Linked DNA regions of Tribolium castaneum. The protein of the gene in region 1 purifies or fractionates together with the protein of each later gene. This does not show direct contact. Links are inferred from orthologs where the notes say so. Each region holds a gene or a part of one and is shown in the gene's direction. Other genes may lie near its edges. The genes, in order: spas and Nup43.

Evidence for each region.
Region 2: the proteins of spas (region 1) and Nup43 purify together in Homo sapiens (affinity purification with mass spectrometry; 3 studies listed by BioGRID and IntAct, counting the BioPlex papers as one, with this or other methods). This does not show direct contact. The link is inferred for Tribolium castaneum from reciprocal best matches to the Homo sapiens genes SPAST and NUP43.

What each region holds. Positions count from the first base shown.
Region 1 is NC_087396.1:14,345,621-14,354,106, forward strand, and holds spas (spastin), read left to right. Parts: upstream 1-2,987; coding exon 2,988-3,420; intron 3,421-3,469; coding exon 3,470-3,640; intron 3,641-3,711; coding exon 3,712-3,819; intron 3,820-5,212; coding exon 5,213-5,425; intron 5,426-5,476; coding exon 5,477-6,015; intron 6,016-6,061; coding exon 6,062-6,475; 3' UTR 6,476-6,816; downstream 6,817-8,486. Other genes in the region: nuclear pore complex protein Nup133, read right to left, coding at 1-335, 1,803-2,341, 2,388-2,515, 2,563-2,762; wrd (serine/threonine-protein phosphatase 2A 56 kDa regulatory subunit gamma isoform), read right to left, coding at 7,640-7,783, 8,218-8,395, 8,444-8,486. UniProt on the Homo sapiens protein: ATP-dependent microtubule severing protein that specifically recognizes and cuts microtubules that are polyglutamylated.
Region 2 is NC_087398.1:14,040,036-14,048,353, reverse strand, and holds Nup43 (nucleoporin Nup43), read left to right. Parts: upstream 1-3,875; 5' UTR 3,876-3,977; coding exon 3,978-4,199; intron 4,200-4,269; coding exon 4,270-4,738; intron 4,739-7,294; coding exon 7,295-7,653; 3' UTR 7,654-7,693; downstream 7,694-8,318. Other genes in the region: MYND-type zinc finger-containing chromatin reader ZMYND8, read right to left, coding at 541-1,017; fand (pre-mRNA-splicing factor syf1 homolog), read left to right, coding at 7,993-8,046, 8,096-8,318. UniProt on the Homo sapiens protein: Component of the Nup107-160 subcomplex of the nuclear pore complex (NPC). The Nup107-160 subcomplex is required for the assembly of a functional NPC.

The sequences.
Region 1 (8,486 bases):
TTAACGGCTGTTGGAGGTTGATTTGTGTTCGTCTGTAGACTTATCATCGCGTAATGTACCCGAGGAATATTAACCGCTGCTGCGAGTATTATAACATTGTCTTTATCTGACTGTATGTCAAGTAACCAGGTATCAATTTCGGTTTGGTCTCCGACACAATTCTCCCACAGGGCACCACAGAAACTATCTCTGACTATTCGGTTCAATTCGGTGACAAATATCAACTCTTCGTCGTTTTTGGACAATTGCCACTTTTGCAAATTGTGGTCGGCTAAAACGTACACCGTCCAGGTGTCGCTAGTTGTACCAGGGACGCTCAGAACGCGCACTATTCCCTGTTTGAATTTTTTTAATCACTATTGAATCAATAATTAGAGTGCGAGAACAGCCTAAGTCCAAAATGCCAATTTAAAACGAAAATTCTCATTTAGTAACCAATGTTTTTTTCAATATGTAAAAAGTTAAATAAAATGAATCCAAGGTGTAACTTGTAATGAAAGTTTTTTTAAAACAATTTAAATATATTTATTACATAAGAAAGTCTTTCGAAAATCTTCAGTATTTTGAAGATAAGGAAGGTTTCTGTAATAGTAACACATTTAAAGTTTTCTGTGAAAGTTGTTTGAAAATATATTTTTCCTATCTCTGCTTTTCTTAACTGAAACCAAACAACTTCTGGTACCACTAGTTTACAAATTTTTTTCTTTTACTAAGAGATAATTTATACTGATTTTGTGTACTGTTTCTCAATGATAACTAAGATATATGTCACATTTGTTATCACGTCTAGTTTTTTTTAATATATTCACTAGAAGTTTTGAAAATTCGTATCCGGTGTCTAGTTTGACATTCCTTGTTTCTGTAATAACTAAATAATTAAACATTTTATTTGCTTTAAAGTATAGTCAAGTGAATGTCGATTAAGCCCAAATAACATTTGATTTGTTTGTGAGAAAATTATCCTAATAAAACCTGGGAAACTTAAGCGATCAAATGGTAAACGCTTTCATCAAGATTTAAAGTCTTATGAAAAGAGGTATACCAAAGATTTACTGCTGGTTACAATAAAAGAAACTGACACTAAACAATGCAAAAAAAGAAACAATATGTCATTTTTATTTATTTTTTTAATCAGTCTTATCTTTGGTGTCTTTGGCATTCGTTATTGACGTAACTAACAAATTGATAAATATTTTATTTGCTTTAAAACATCATCAGGTGAATGTAAATTTCTATGTTTGTGTTTAATTATTATCCTAACAAAACCTGGGAAGCTTAAGCAATGAACATCGTGAACATATCCATCAAGATTTAAAGTCTTATGAAGAGACGTATTAAGGTTTTTGGGATAAAAATATGTTAATCGTTTACTACATAAGGATAAACTGACCCTGATAGTACAAAAAAAGCAGTCTGTAACATTTTAGTTGTTGCAAAAAACTTGACGTCACACATTGGCTTCATGTATTGGTAAAAAACAAAACACTGTGAACTAGTTAATTTAAATTGGCTTCCAACTGCACATTTTTTTCTTGCAACAGGAGGTGATGACACCAAAGTCCAAAGAGTCTTCAATTTCAATATACCTTAAAAAAGGTTCTAATTAATTTCTAATAAAATTTGCTGTCGTCACAGGTGAAAAAATTAAAATTATTTTCCCACATAGACACTGTGTTTTAAAAAATTTGACTTAATACTTTGTTTTAAACAAAAAGCTTGTTCAATATCACTTTTAATGATAATTAATTTTTTGGTAAAAATGCACTTAGGCTGTTTTCGCTCTCAGGCCCAGAACTACTCACACTTTCGGCCGAGGTTTCGCTCGCGATTGGCCCAAAAATCAGACTCGACATTCTCTTGCTAATGCCCCCCAACCACCCAGTTGGTATTTTAAGTGTTTTGCATTTCAAACTGTGCCTCCCGCCACTTAGCTGTGGCTGGAGCAACAAAACGGTGCACGTTGTGGTGGCCAGAATGCACCCAAGGCCCTCGACATCGGTCAAACTGTCGCATTCCTGGCCTTGTAGACTGACGTGCTGTTCCACGGAGATTCCTTCATGGACAATTGCCGGCCAGTAGCGCACCACACCTTCCGGCGAGACTGCGATACAAGAAGGTGTGTTCGAGTCTGAATTGACGAAAACCGAGACCAGTTCAGCTCTGTGCGCCAAGTCGCTTTGCGGGAGTTGCAGTTCAAAGCACTGGTTTAGTAAACTTGTCTTTTTCGAGGGGGTGTCGAGCAACACGGGGCTTTGGCGGTACTGCCAGATCAGCAAGCGGCGGCCGCAGACCACCCACAGGTAGCCCAGTTTCGAGATTCGGGCCGATACCACGGTGTTTCCTTAAAGAAAAAAATAAATTCGTGGGAAATTATAGTGGTGGCTTACTGTCGGCAAATGTGAGGGCTTCTGTTATTAGGACGGGGAAGGTTTGGCCGAAACGTTCAACGTAGTTGTAAGGTGTTGATAGTATTATTTGTACCGATTGGGTTGATTTTCCTGAGACACTGAAACGGCTAAAAGACCGGTAAGTATGAGAGTGAGGTTAGAATCGTCAACTTACGATGATTTTCGGAAATTAGGCGGAATGATTTTCTTGGCGTTGAGATTTTGCCGAGAACGGGGAGAAAACGGGCTTCTGGTGGAGAAAGATGAGTTGAAGCTTCTATCCATTCTGACTTTATTACAAATATTCAAATTTAAAAAGTAATAACAATGTTGACCACTTATGTCAGATACAGATGACATGCGCGCATTGCACATGTAGCATGTGGTTCTATGTTCATGGAATCCTATCCGGAAAGCAGCGTGATTTTTTGTTTTATCACAGGTTTTATCTATTTACGAGACTGAGAAACACCTGGTTGTTATCATATTTGGTTCCGGTGATTTTTTACTCCTCGATGTTCCGTTGTGGAACGAAGTGGCTGAATATTATGAAAAAAAAAGTTGGCAGCCCTGTAACAGCGTGAGTGTGATGGCATCCGGATGGTGCGTAAAACCCAAACGAAATCACCTGGCAAAAAATCAAGAAAAAGTGACCCCGACATTTCGAGAAGCGATGTGATGTTTACGTCGTACTCAGAGACCTCTGTCCACAAGCGAAACCTATGCATCGTTTCCTTCCCGATTATTTTTCTGTTCAACATTTTGCGCACTTTGCTCTACCAAATCTTTGTTATCCTTCGTTTCGTGTATTGTAGTTCCTCAAATTACCTAGTAAAGAAACGTCAGTTTGAATGTGGTGAGAGTGACCAACAAGTTGCGACTTGTGTCATTGAAGAGATCACCGAAATGACGCACGTCCAGAGGGTCACAGGGCCGGGGCCCGGGGACCCCCTTCTGGCCAAGCAGAAGCACCACCACCGCCGCGCCTTCGAGTACATCTCCAAGGCGCTCAAGATCGATGAAGAGAACGAAGGTCGGTGCCCGGTCTGGAGGCACGGTGAATAATTGATGGTCGTTTCTAGGTCAGAAGGACTTGGCCATCGAGTTGTATAGGAAAGGCATCACGGAGCTGGAACTGGGGATCGCGGTGCAGTGCTGGGGCGGCCGGGGCGAGGTGTGGGAGCGGGCCCAGCGCCTCCACGAAAAAATGAAAACCAATCTTGCCATGGCCAAGGACAGGCTGCAGTTTTTGGGTAATTTGGACTGGATTGATTTGCTCATTTTGGTTTGGTATTTACGTCTTTGTTGTTGTTTCTGTTTATAGAAAGCATGGATATGTTACATCGACAGGATGTTCAAAAAGAACCAAAAGAGGCTCCTAAACTTAGCTACACTACCAATATTCCTACTCCCAAACTTTGTTTTAACAAAGGTATTCTTCTTATTTTCAGTATTTCAGCTTCCATTGGTGTAACTCGTAGTACATCGGCTTCTAATAGTAGAACGCGTTGCTCGATTTCTTACCATAATCCCTAGTAATTAACTCATAGATTATGTAATCCCAGCAATCATTATCGACACAGTATTTTGAGCAGTAACAGCCTCAAGCCTCAATTAACAACTAGATTATGAGTTTATCGCTTTTATGATTCAGACAGTGGCGAATCTAACCTTGATTCTTCAAAAACCTTTGTCTCTTGTTTGCAAATTGGTAAAGTAAATAGCAAATTTTAAAACATCTCATTCGCCAGTGGGTACAGAAGTCTTATCCTGAATCACATACAAATTTGGATAGTGCATACCTAAGTGTATATTTGCTGCAATTACCAAAATTTTTTATACTATAACAGTCTAAATAATGATAAAATTATTTTATTATCTTAGATGCAGTTTTATTATGTTTATAAAAGTGAAATTATATTGAACTAAAATGTGATTATTATAATTACAATAGGTATGTATTTTTTCGTAACTTGAGACCATACGATTCTTTTTTGACTTTTTTTGAGTACATAGTTCAAAATAAGAGAATTGTTTATGCAAAGTCCTACAGACAAGTAAACCAGCTAGTGATCAAGAACCCACTCCAAGTCTCAACTTTGTTTAATTTATTCAACAGTAATAAAATTTAATAAAATTGCATTCACGTAGAGAAGCATACTTTTAACGATATGTTAAGACAGAAGGGTTCAAAGTAGAGCAAAGTAAATGAAAACCTTGTAAATATCTTCTTTTTTAAAAACGCTGCGAAAACGGTACACCTCATAAAAATATCTATATAAAAAAACAAATATAGAGAACTAAATTTTCAAGTCAACGACAGAATAACACTACTGTCTTTAACGGTTCAGGCTCTAAAAGACGTTCAAGAATTTTTGAAAAACATCTTAAATTTGTACACCGTCACCGTCGTTTTTGTAGCAAATTTAATTTAATTTAATTAATTAATTAATATAGTACAATTTTTATATTAATTTGTTCTGTGTCATGGTGCTCAATATGTTAATTATTTATAGGACCATTATTTCTGTTTAGTTTAAATGTTGATGATAATCCGCATTTTCGGCCTCTATGCTTCCTCTCTCTAGGTTTGTATTGTTTTAAAGTTGAAGAAAATGTTTCCTTTTATATTTAATAAGGGTTTATATTCGCCACTGTGTAAAAACTGCGTAACCTGATTCCGATTCTTTGATTGAAAGAAATTTATATTTTAATTTTAATTATTATTATTTTTAAAAACAATGAGTTCTACTTTTTCATCACCCCTGTGTATATTTTTGTTTGTGAGCCACCAACTGCGTGTCACTATTTCTCTTTGTTCCTAGCTTCCGGCAAGAAACTCTCCGTGGCCAGTAAGCGCCCCCCGAACGCGACCCTGGCCAAAAGCCAAACCTTGCCCCGTTCGATGGGTTCCCGGACAGCCCCTATTCAGCCCGTCCGCCCTTTTAACAAGCTCTCGTCGACTCCTCCTGCCGTCAAAAAGCAACTCTCGGTGCCGGGCACCGCCGGTTCTCCCGCTCGCAAAACAACAGCCTCACGTAATAAACCCGATCGAAAGTCCGATAACTATTGACTCGTTCCTCCAACAGTAGCAACTCCGAGTAAATCGACGTCACGGGGCGGCAAATCACCCAATTTACGAGGCGTCGACACAAAACTAGCTCAATGCATCCTTGACGAGATCGTCGAAGGCGGCCTCCAGGTGCAATGGGAGGACATCATCGGTCAAGACGCCGCCAAACAAGCGCTGCAAGAAATGGTGATCTTGCCGTCGCTGCGGCCTGAACTGTTCACGGGGCTGCGCACCCCCGCGCGGGGGCTGCTCCTGTTCGGGCCCCCAGGCAACGGGAAGACGTTGCTAGCGAGGGCTGTGGCCACCGAATGTCGGGCGACGTTTTTCTCAATCAGTGCCGCCAGTCTCACTTCGAAGTACGTGGGCGAAGGGGAGAAAATGGTGCGGGCTTTGTTCGCAATCGCCCGGGAGTTGCAACCGTCGATTATTTTCATCGACGAAGTCGATTCGCTCCTCTCCGAACGCTCCAACAACGAGCATGAGGCTAGCCGCAGGTTGAAGACCGAATTTCTGGTCGAGTTCGACGGACTGCCGAGTAACCCCGACAGCGAGCGGGTGAGACAGTGTTTCATTGTGTTATTTTTTTATCGATGGTTTGAAGGTCGTGGTGATGGCGGCGACCAACCGCCCCCAGGAACTGGACGAAGCCGCTCTCCGAAGGTTCCCGAAGCGCGTCTACGTCACGCTCCCCGATCTCGAAACGCGAATTCGATTGTTTAAGATGTTGTTGGCAAAACAGGGTTGTTCACTTACGCAACAGGAACTGAAACGACTGGCCACTCTTACTGAAGGATACTCGGCTAGTGATTTAACAGCTCTGGCCAAGGATGCCGCGCTGGGACCAATCAGGGAGCTGCAGCCGGAGCAAGTGAAGGAGATGGATCCCAGTGCGCTGAGGAGCATCACTATAAATGATTTTCTGGATTCGCTGAAACGGATCAGGAGGAGTGTGTCGCCGCAGAGCTTGGTGGCGTACGAGAAGTGGTCGTTGCAGTACGGAGATATGTCTATTTAATCATTCCGCTTTTACTTTGGTGACTTTCGTTTTAATCTGTGATATTATGGTGTTTTTGATTGAAAATTCGCTGCCTGTTGATTTTGTTGACTTGTTTTAGTACAAAAGGGAGGGAGTTTCTCTTTTTATTTGAGCCGAAATGACGTATTAAAATATTGAAGTAATGTAGTTAGACTAGGAGTGTTTTTAGAGTTTGTGTTTACTAGCACGTTTTTTATTACTTGATTTAACATTGTTTTGTGGTTGTTCACTTGGACCGTAACAAAAGTGTCTCAATTCAGACGTTGCTTTTTCCATGACGTTTGTAATCTTATTGGTATAATAAAAGTAAATTGAAAGAAGATTTGCGTTTGGCAAAAATGAACATTTGAGTGAATTAAAGAAATGTAATTTATATCAATATCATTGACAAAGCAAAGCTGTACAATAAAAAAATACTGTCTAAGACATAATATCAACTCCATATCCGTATGTACACTTTCCTTCCATCATGAAACATAAAAAATATATCCTTACAGCTAATTATTGAATGTATTTCGAGTTACAACACTAGACTTACACTTTCTTTTATCAGTTAACTAACAATATGCTCATTCGTTTTTGTTTAATAACACATTCAAAGCAAGTGCCACACATTTAATTTCTAAATACGTAAATAATGTCTGTACACTCTTTTTCAACTAACCCCCGATTGTTCGATTATAAAAAGAATAAATAAACAGAGAGAAAAGTGTTAAAAAAGAAACAGCGTTTGGTAAGAACGACCAACTCGATATCGTTATAAACATCTTAAATATATTATTTTATAAAAGGCCACATGCTAATTTAGTAACGGCTAACAACACATAAATCCTTTCATGCAGTCATTTACAACTATGGATCTAGATAGAATATTTGCATAGAAATAATAACCTTAGCGCGAAAAAATTGTACTCGAAAGTTGTCTATCAACTACGGTATCTAAAAATATTTTGACTTTTCTCTCAAACCAATAAAAAACATCAATCTTTATAAAAAAAGACCTAAAATCACATCGCCCTAGCATAAAATCAATACTTGTCACCTCAAATCAATTGAAATGAATGAAAATACCCGGTGGTTCCCTAGGTCGCATAACATAACCTGTTGGCACTAAGCTCACTAAGAAAAGGTGTTTTGAGTGGACTAGCACTTGTTGACATCCGGTGGCGTCGTGAGATACTCGTCTGCTCGTTTGTGATCGTTCAGTGCTTTGACGGTGTATTGATCTTGTGGTAATTCCGATTTACGTCGGACTAACGGCTTGTTTGTATTGCGAGTCTTCTTTGTCTGGAATTAAAACCGGGATGAAACACCACAAACACAGCAGTCACCACACATACAACAGTGACAGTTGTATGAGAATTATTACACAAAACTCATACAACGTCGATTGTGCTCCACACGACTGTGCATTACAATAACTAACAACAAGATCAAATGTTTCAATGACAAAAGGGAAATAAGGTGACAGCAAACTTACTTCTACTAATAATACTAACAACAAACTTTACTAGCTGCGTTTTTTCTGAAACAGAAGAGCAGAGTTGTGTACATTTGTCATAAAAACATTTGTTTGTAAATAGACAGGCCTGGAAAATCATTTAACTCATCTCGTTTTTTTTTCAGATCCAGATTTATTAATAACTCACTTTTCAAACATATTGTTTTCATGTTCCCTGACCTGTCTATTCTGCGATGTGGTTTGGAAGAAAATTAGTTACCTCCTGGGCTTGTTGTTCTATGTTATCCAAAGTGACTTCATCGTCGGGATCAGGACTCGTGATGATGCTCTTGATTTCTGGATTTTGTGCTTTAATAAGCTCGTATTCGGGTTTCTGAGCTGCTAAAGACTCCACTCTGATCCATAGTTCCATACGTTGGTTTTCACGCTCGCGCTCTCTGCAAAAAAGCATTAACAATATTCCTTGCGAAAGAATGCGAACTTACTTCCGTCTCTCCTCACGATATAGTTGTGTACACTCGTCAAACA
Region 2 (8,318 bases), on another chromosome or scaffold:
AAAAATAATGTAGATGTCACTTGTTACGTGATTGGCAAAGTTCTTACATACCACAAAATAATCTAAAATTAGTGAAGATCTACGTTTTTGTTGAATGAACTATTTTACAAAAAGTTGTAATTTTACTTATCATAATACGTGACGTAAAATATTAGCGCAGTATCTAAAAAACAGTTGTTAATTTTACACAACTAAAATATGCCAACATGCGCTTGGTGTATATTTACAACCTTGTACTCGAGACAACAACTGTAATAACACTTTTTGTGTAATACAACGTTAATGAAACCTGTTTTAGATCAGGGCCTTTTGCTGGAAACGGCAAGAAAGGCTTCAAGCACCATTTAATTGTAAAAATATATTTTTTTGTTGACATTTGAACAGTTTGTGCAACGTGTGAAAAACAAATCACAGCCAACTATCACTCGCACGATCGTGACAAGTTGGCGTTTTTTACAAACACTTGCGTCCACTTTTCTTGTTTATAGCTCAAATGAGCACTAGTTTGAACACAATTTGTGTATTTCTGAGCCGCCTTACCTTCCTTGCCATGATAAAATCGTTGTTATAAAACTGCAGCCCCCTCCTTGCCTCATCGGCGGTGGCGCCCTCTGCCCCGCTTTCGCCTCCGAAGCTCGATTTTCGTTTCTTCGCTTTTTTCTCGTCGATTTTCACGTCGTAATTTTCCAGCTCGCTCTCGGCTGTAACAGGAAAACTCGTCATTTTGGGTGATTTTTTCGGCGTGCCCTTGACTTTGTCTAGCGTTTTGCGTCTGTTTGTTGACAGATTGGTGTCTAGCTTCGCCTCTTTAGACAAAGCGAGAATGGATTTGAGCTCGCGGCTGGTTTTGGGGGTGCTGGTGTCGTCAGGGGACTCACTTGGCGGTGGGGGCTCCTCGGGCGGCGTTGGGGGCTTGTCGTCGCCGTTCTGGGGCTCCTCGGGAGGTGGAGCGGGCGGTTCGGCTTCCGGCGGCGGCGGCGGGGGCGGCGCAAGGTCGAGCTGCTCGCTTTCGGACATTGTCGTGGGTTATAGTGATCTAGCAAATGCACAGTTGGTATTGTTTGGTTACAAACGACTTGAACTCGATGCACAATGGAAGGGAAATGCGCGTTTTACAGCCGTGGAAAGCGGTTCATTGCGGGCTCGGAGGAAAATTCGGCCACTTTTCAGCACTAAAGCCGGCTTTCGGCAACTCGCTACACTTCTTCGCTCTTATTTACATAACCTAGAATAAAACCCTTTCTGTTAGCTCTACACATGTTTGGAGCGACTGACTTGGAAAACATCGTCGTAGCAAGGGGTTTTACTCACCGTCTAGCTTAATTTTCATTGGAAAAGCTCATTATTGATGAAAAATCAGCATTATCGATAGTAGAGAATGCATCACATTCACAACACTTCCACTGTATTTATAATATTTGCCGTTGGGGGCGCTGATGTTAATGTAACTTGACTGGAGTTCAGCGTTTGGTGTAGGGGAGAGGAAGGAAAAGTGGGTCACATGGTTTTTTCTTGAAACTTTACGTCACGGCTTCACATCGTGTCTGACGTAGGTATCACGTGACACAACCTTTGAAAAAGTCCCCAGTTGTTACTGCATATACTTGATTTTAATAATATTTATTTAGTTATAAATTGCATATGCCTTAGAATTAAAATTAAAAGAAAATTTAAGAATTCTGTGTTATAATTTATAATGATCCGAGGGATAAACAGCAGATCTAAACTTAAACACCATACTTCCTGTACCTTGTGCAAACGCCTTAGCTTTTATACCTCTGCTGTTAGCTACCCTTATTTCAAAATTTTAAATGAAATCCCCTACGTTTTGTAACAGTTTTGAAAACTTGCAAAAAACCTTATCAAACCGTGAAAAAAGATTATCGATTCGTTTATATATTGGGGGATGTTTTATTTTTGCAATTTTGAACTCTAATAGTAGTACTACATATCTGATTTAGAGTCAATTTAATTTAAACAAAAAACTAGTGGGTTACTGTGAAGGGAAATTTCAAAACAAACTCCAAGTACCTACTCGTCAAAAACTACCCTTAATCGATATGCTCCTTTGTTAAATTAAATTGGTTTAAGAATTAAACGTTTTAGGTTTAGGTTTTTAAAATAAAACCACTCCTAACTCAAAAACGAAATATAAATCTTCAGTTTGTTTTATTTACACAAGAGCATTAGAAATCAGGTGACATGCGTCTTAACTTTTGGGCTTGCGCAGTGGTGTAAATTTATAGATAAAGGTAAACTCCCAGTACATCCCCGAAATCCCTGTAAATCCTTAAACTTGCACACCATACATCCACAGCTGTTTACAGGTCGTAATGGTTATAAAATAATATAATCAATTTTTATGTAATGTAGAGTCACAAAATATGTATTATTACAAAAAATCATCGATAAACACTTTCTCATGTTTTTTAACAGTAGGTATAGAGAGAATTATTATTGTAAAAATAGTAAGTCCTGTTAGCCTTTTTCAATATTATGTTTTCGCCTAAGATTCCGCATCCAATACCCTTTATGCTTCGTCCTAAACTGACAAACATTATTTTCTTCCAAGCGAAATTGTGGAGATATACTAAAGTAATATTTCATGACAACAATGCAATGGGGCCAGAAAATGATTAGTCTGCAGTAAAAAAGATGTTTATTGCTCACTTCGTCTCACTTTTCAGAACAGATGTTACCATGAGCAGACATGGGGCCTAAGCTGAAGCAAGCCCAAAGAAACCCTAACTTGCGAATCATTTTCTGTCGTCAACTGCACTGTTATAAAATATTACTTTAGTCAATCTTAACTACTCTGCTTGGAAGATAATACAAAATAACTATTTAATATTATTATTGGTTTTAAAATGAGATTTGTGACATACAATAAGGGCCTTACGTTTCACCAAATTATTCTATAAAGTTAAGTGAAACATTTAAACCTGTTCTGATATGTAATGTTCTAAAAACATGTTTTTAAACAGCGTCTTGAAAATAGTCTGTGCAACAGACATTTAATGAGGTTGAAAGTATATGGTGGTGCAGTGTGTGATCTTTTAAATCGCCGGCTTTATTTTTTGCATCATATGAACATTCGCGACATTTAAATATATATTGTTTACAGTACTGAAATAACCATGTCTGTTACTAATAGCAAGTTTTAGAAACACTAATACAAAAAACGTCTCTAAATTGCAACTAACGCAAGCTGTGAATGGAATCACACATTTGATTCAAAGGCACATGTTTAATGTGTGTATAGTGTATCTTATTCAATGGTGTCCCTTTAAATGTAGAAACTGGTTCGTCTCAAAGGAATAATCACGACATTTGTGCTCCTCAAGGGGCTGCTACAACACTAAACTGGCTTAGTGTCTTCCTCAGGCAACAGCTGTTTAATCATTTTCGTCTTCGATTTTTTTATCAATCTGAAAAATTTCTAGGTTAAAAAAGTTGTAAATTGTTTTAGTTTTACTGACCTGTTCCATTTCTTGGCTTTGGGAGAGCTTATCACATACTTTATTTTGTATTTATTACTAAATTCGTCTAATTGCCTTTCATGTAGGGGGGCTTTATAAAGGCCAGTTCTGTTGTTGAAATTTCATGACTGACATCTAGTGGAAAACATTACTGTCAGTGAACAGGTTGCCATGAACGTACACCTACTTCCGTTTCTATAAAATAAACCCCCCACATAAAAAAATCTGTTTTAAATAGTTATTTTATTTTTAAACATAAACTTATTACAGTTCAGCCGTAACAATATTTTCTAAACATTAATCATGTATTCTTATAACGTACTTCTGGCTTAAAAAAATGTAGAGTCGTTAAGCAATTTGTCTTATAGATTTGATACGGAGTATACTCCACCGCACGTATAGTGGGTTGCCTGACAATTATTCAATTATGCTTTCAACGACACAGTGAGGTTATAGCGCCACTTTTTTAATTTTTATGGGCTTAATTATACACAAAATATGGCCCACAACATTCATGGAACATTTGTTTCTGAAAAAGTTAATAAAATCCGTTGGAGGCCCGATTTTATGAATGCCTCGCATTATTTTGTAACCGGCAGTTGGGACAATGACCAAAACAGCATCAAACTTTGGGATTTCCAAGAAAATGAAGAAGATGCCGAAGTTTATCCATTTCTGGTGGCTGAATTTCCACACAACGGGGACATAACTGAAGTTAAAGTATGTATATTACAATCAGTATTGCGATACGAGCCACGTAGCGAGTGAAACAATTTTTGTCATTTTTTAGTTCTTAAACGGCGATTTTTTCGTTGCTTCTTCGTCGTCGGGCTGCGTCAGTCTGCTGAAGATTACTTCCGAACATGGAATTGATCCCTTAATTGAGAGAAAAATTTACTGGGAGGGAGTTCACAAATTTCCCAATGGGGAGAATTGCCCTTGCACTGCCTTTTGCACCTACGACAACGATATTGTGAGCGTTGGCGAAGACGGTTCTATCAATTTGTTAAATGCCCAAAACCAAAACGTTATCCGCACAATTGAAAACGCCGATAGTTGCTCAATTCGTTGTGTGGCTTTTCTGAAGCATAGCGAAATTTTGACCGGTAATTTTCGTGGACAATTGAAGATTTTCGATATTCGGGCCCCTAAAAGCCAACCCGCGACCACTTTCATGTTGAGTGGGGATCAAATCTCGCCATTGTGTCTCCAAAACCACCCTACACAGAGGCATTTGGTGGTAGCTGGCGATGAAGAAGGTACCTATTTTTTTTTTATTTATGTTGGCAAACGCCAAAAATGGTGCCAACTTAAAGGTATTGGCAACTTTCTTTTAAATGATACCAAAATAGTTATTTACATTATACGTGCGGTAGGTATAATTTTACAGCGTGAAGTTTTAATAAAATTGAACGCTGTAAAATGAGTCGTCTAGTTCCAAAACCTGCCGTCTCTATTCAGTATTTTTGTTTAATGTTTAATACAAATGCTGTTGAACAAATAAATTTTAAATTACACTGATATAAAACCTCTTAGAGAGTAGAATTCGATGACCTATACTTTAATTACAATGTTTGAATTTAAAGCCTGCATTTTTTTTAAGGTTGGAGGTGGCAAGTTTTGGAACAAGTTGGAGAGGAGATGGGCGGTTATGGAACAAAATGTCTTTTAAAAATCCTTTTTTTAAGACTAGATAGTGAAATGGAATAAAAAAACTCAAACTACGTATTTGCTGAAATAACATGTGGCTAAAGTTTTAAGTCTTTTAAGGCAAACACATAACTCCAAAAAACAACGCGGAGATAGTTGATTTTGGAACGCATATATAAGATTACTTTACGTAAAGAAATGACATTGATATTTCAAACTTTAATGCAGTTGATGTTAATAACTATTTTTTGTTAGTATTTAGTCCGCCAGATAATTGTGCTAAATCCACATTATCATTAGTACGCAAAAAAATCAACGATAATGGTTCCTTTCGTCTTCAGCTTGCTGCTGTTGATGAAGTTTATGAAATAGTTATAGTGTTGACGAAAATATTTTTATTTTTGATGTTGTGTATAGTTCTGCGTAACTGGCTATGTCTATACCATAAACCAATGAAAACTTCCACAAAACCGCATCAATTATTTTGGGCATCTTCTTAGTACCTGCAAGAGGCTCATTATCTTTTAGGATTCCTTCTTGTAAACAACAATGATCAAAATAATAACTGCAATTGTGGGGTAAGTTTTTGTTGGTTTGCGGTTGACATAGCAAGTAATGTGAGAACTATAAGTATATACCCTATATATACTCAAAATTGACGCCCATGCTTTTAGGATTTGCTTCAGAAGACTAAAACAAATCGAAAGTTAAGAGTGAAAAATTGTCCAATTGTCCTTCGTTATCGAGTTATTGATAAGTATCTAAAATTTAAAATTTGTACATTAAATTTTATTAAAAGCGAATTTACCAAATTTGTTGTCACAAAGTATGCTATAATGCGATTTGGAAACTTTTCCGTGTAGGCCCTAGTCTCAGCAGTGGCATTGCCATCATACAAACATCTTACTTATAACCGAGCTTTTAACATATCGTCAAAATTTCGAATACACTAATAAAGTGGTATCTTATCATTTAACACATACAAAAACGAAGGAAATTAATAATACTCTTTACTAGACACAGTTATTCAAAGAATTTTAATATCGCTAACATCAACTAATCAATTATGTTGCACAAATAATTGGAAAGACAGCTAAAGCTTATTATTTACATTTTTATCAATAACTCTAAAACGAACAATTGGAAAATTTTTTACTCTTAACTTTCGATTTGTATTAATACCCTAAATCAAACTGCCATAGCACAGGCGTCAATTTTGAGACTTTTACTTGTTAGAACGTAATCTATTCAACATTTTTCAAACGAGCGTAAATGGTTGGCTTGGTTAAACGAAACTGATCGAAGAAATTTACATCACTAACAATTTCAAAATAATTTTTCTTTTTCTATAAATTTTTTGTCTTCGCAGTTCGGAAGAAGATAATGAATTAGAAGAAAAAATGAACACTTTCTTAATTTTGTGCAATTCAAAAAACTGACAAATTTAACGTTTGTTAAAGTTGCTTTTGTAATTTGCCGCCGTCTTTACGTCTTTACCTAATCATTATTTGACGAAATATTTTACGAAAATTTTTAGGTTGAAACGCATTTTAAAAATTGAAGTCACTTTTAAAAGTTTAAGTTACTTTAAAATGATTTATGAAACGATCCTACTTCAAGTTATTTCGATATAAATTTGGGATTATGACGTCATAACCGTCTCTCGAGCATTATTTGGTCCAATTTTAAGATCAAATAGTTTTTGATCACTGCCAAAGAATATCGAAATGAAGACACAATTTCTGAGATATTTTCGCAAAGTGCAAGACAAAATTTAGAACAGGTAGGAGTTTGGAAAGTAGTTATTTTTTTGATTTTGTAGAAGATATGTGAAAAATATGTGATTAATAAAAGGTTTCTGTGATGAGAGGCGGTTGTGACGTTAAGGCTTCACTTATTTTTTGCTGCAGAAAATTTTGAAAAAAGTCTCTATAGTTCCAATTTCCGTTAAAAGATAAATTAGGTAAAATACAATGTGTTCAAAAATGGTGGTTCATCAAGTTAACTATTTTAAATTTAAATTAAGCGGCACATTACGTTCAAATTTCATATGTGACTTGATGAACGAAGTTTTTTGAGCACATTTTATAAGTTGCCACTGCCTTCAATTTTAGTCATAGACCACTCTGATCAGAATTCGAAATATGTTATTTACTCCGTTTCAGGTTCGATAACGATATGGGATTTGCGCCAAAACACATATCCTGTGAATGTGTTGGATGCTCATGAGGGAGGCGTTATGGAAATACACTTCCATCCAGATCATCCTGACCAGCTATTCACTTGTTCCACTGATGGGGATGTTTGGCATTGGTCGCCTAAATGTGGCAGTGCCTCTAGTTTGCTGAATGGGGAGAATGTTTGGTTGGCATCCGAGGCTATCAAAAATAAGTTGGATGTTTTTACGCTCATGCCTAAATTGCACAAACCAATCAATAGTCTGGATGTTAACAGAAATAAGGTTCTTTGTGGGTGCGATAACGAGGCGGTTTATTTAATCAATGGAGTTAATGTTTTTAAGTAATTGTTTTGTACAAAGTTTCTAATAAAAAGTTGAACCACTATTTGGTTGTTGGCATATACGTGATAGCTGGAGGTCGTTATAATGGGTTCGTTATAACCAGACTCTACTGTATTATATCTTTGTTGATCATATCATCAGCATTTTACTAAGGTGTTTTAGGTTAAAACTTAGAAATAAGAGCAATATATACTACCACTTGTTAAAAAACACCACAATTTCACATTTTGTATATTTTTAATTTCGCATTTGTTGGAATTCGCTTTTGACCGACAATAATAACTAACCTCATCTACTTAACCTAACATTTCTCAACGTTATATTTTCGTTCAAAGCGCCGCAATGCCTGTCTCTAGCGATGTTGTTCGTAAAGAAACCCCCATGGAAATTATATTTGTACGTATCCCGTTTCAAAATTAGTCCAAAATAACTGCGAAAATTCCAGACAGACGAAGACCTCCCTTACGAAGAAGAGATCCTCCGCAACCCCTACTCTGTGAAGCACTGGCTGCGCTACATTGAGCACAAGAAGAAGGCCCCGAAGCACGGCGTTAACATAATTTACGAGCGGGCCCTTAAAGAGCTCCCCGGCTCTTACAAACTTTGGTACAACTACTTACGCACTCGCCGCCTCCAGGTGAAAAACCGCTGCATCACAGACCCCGCAT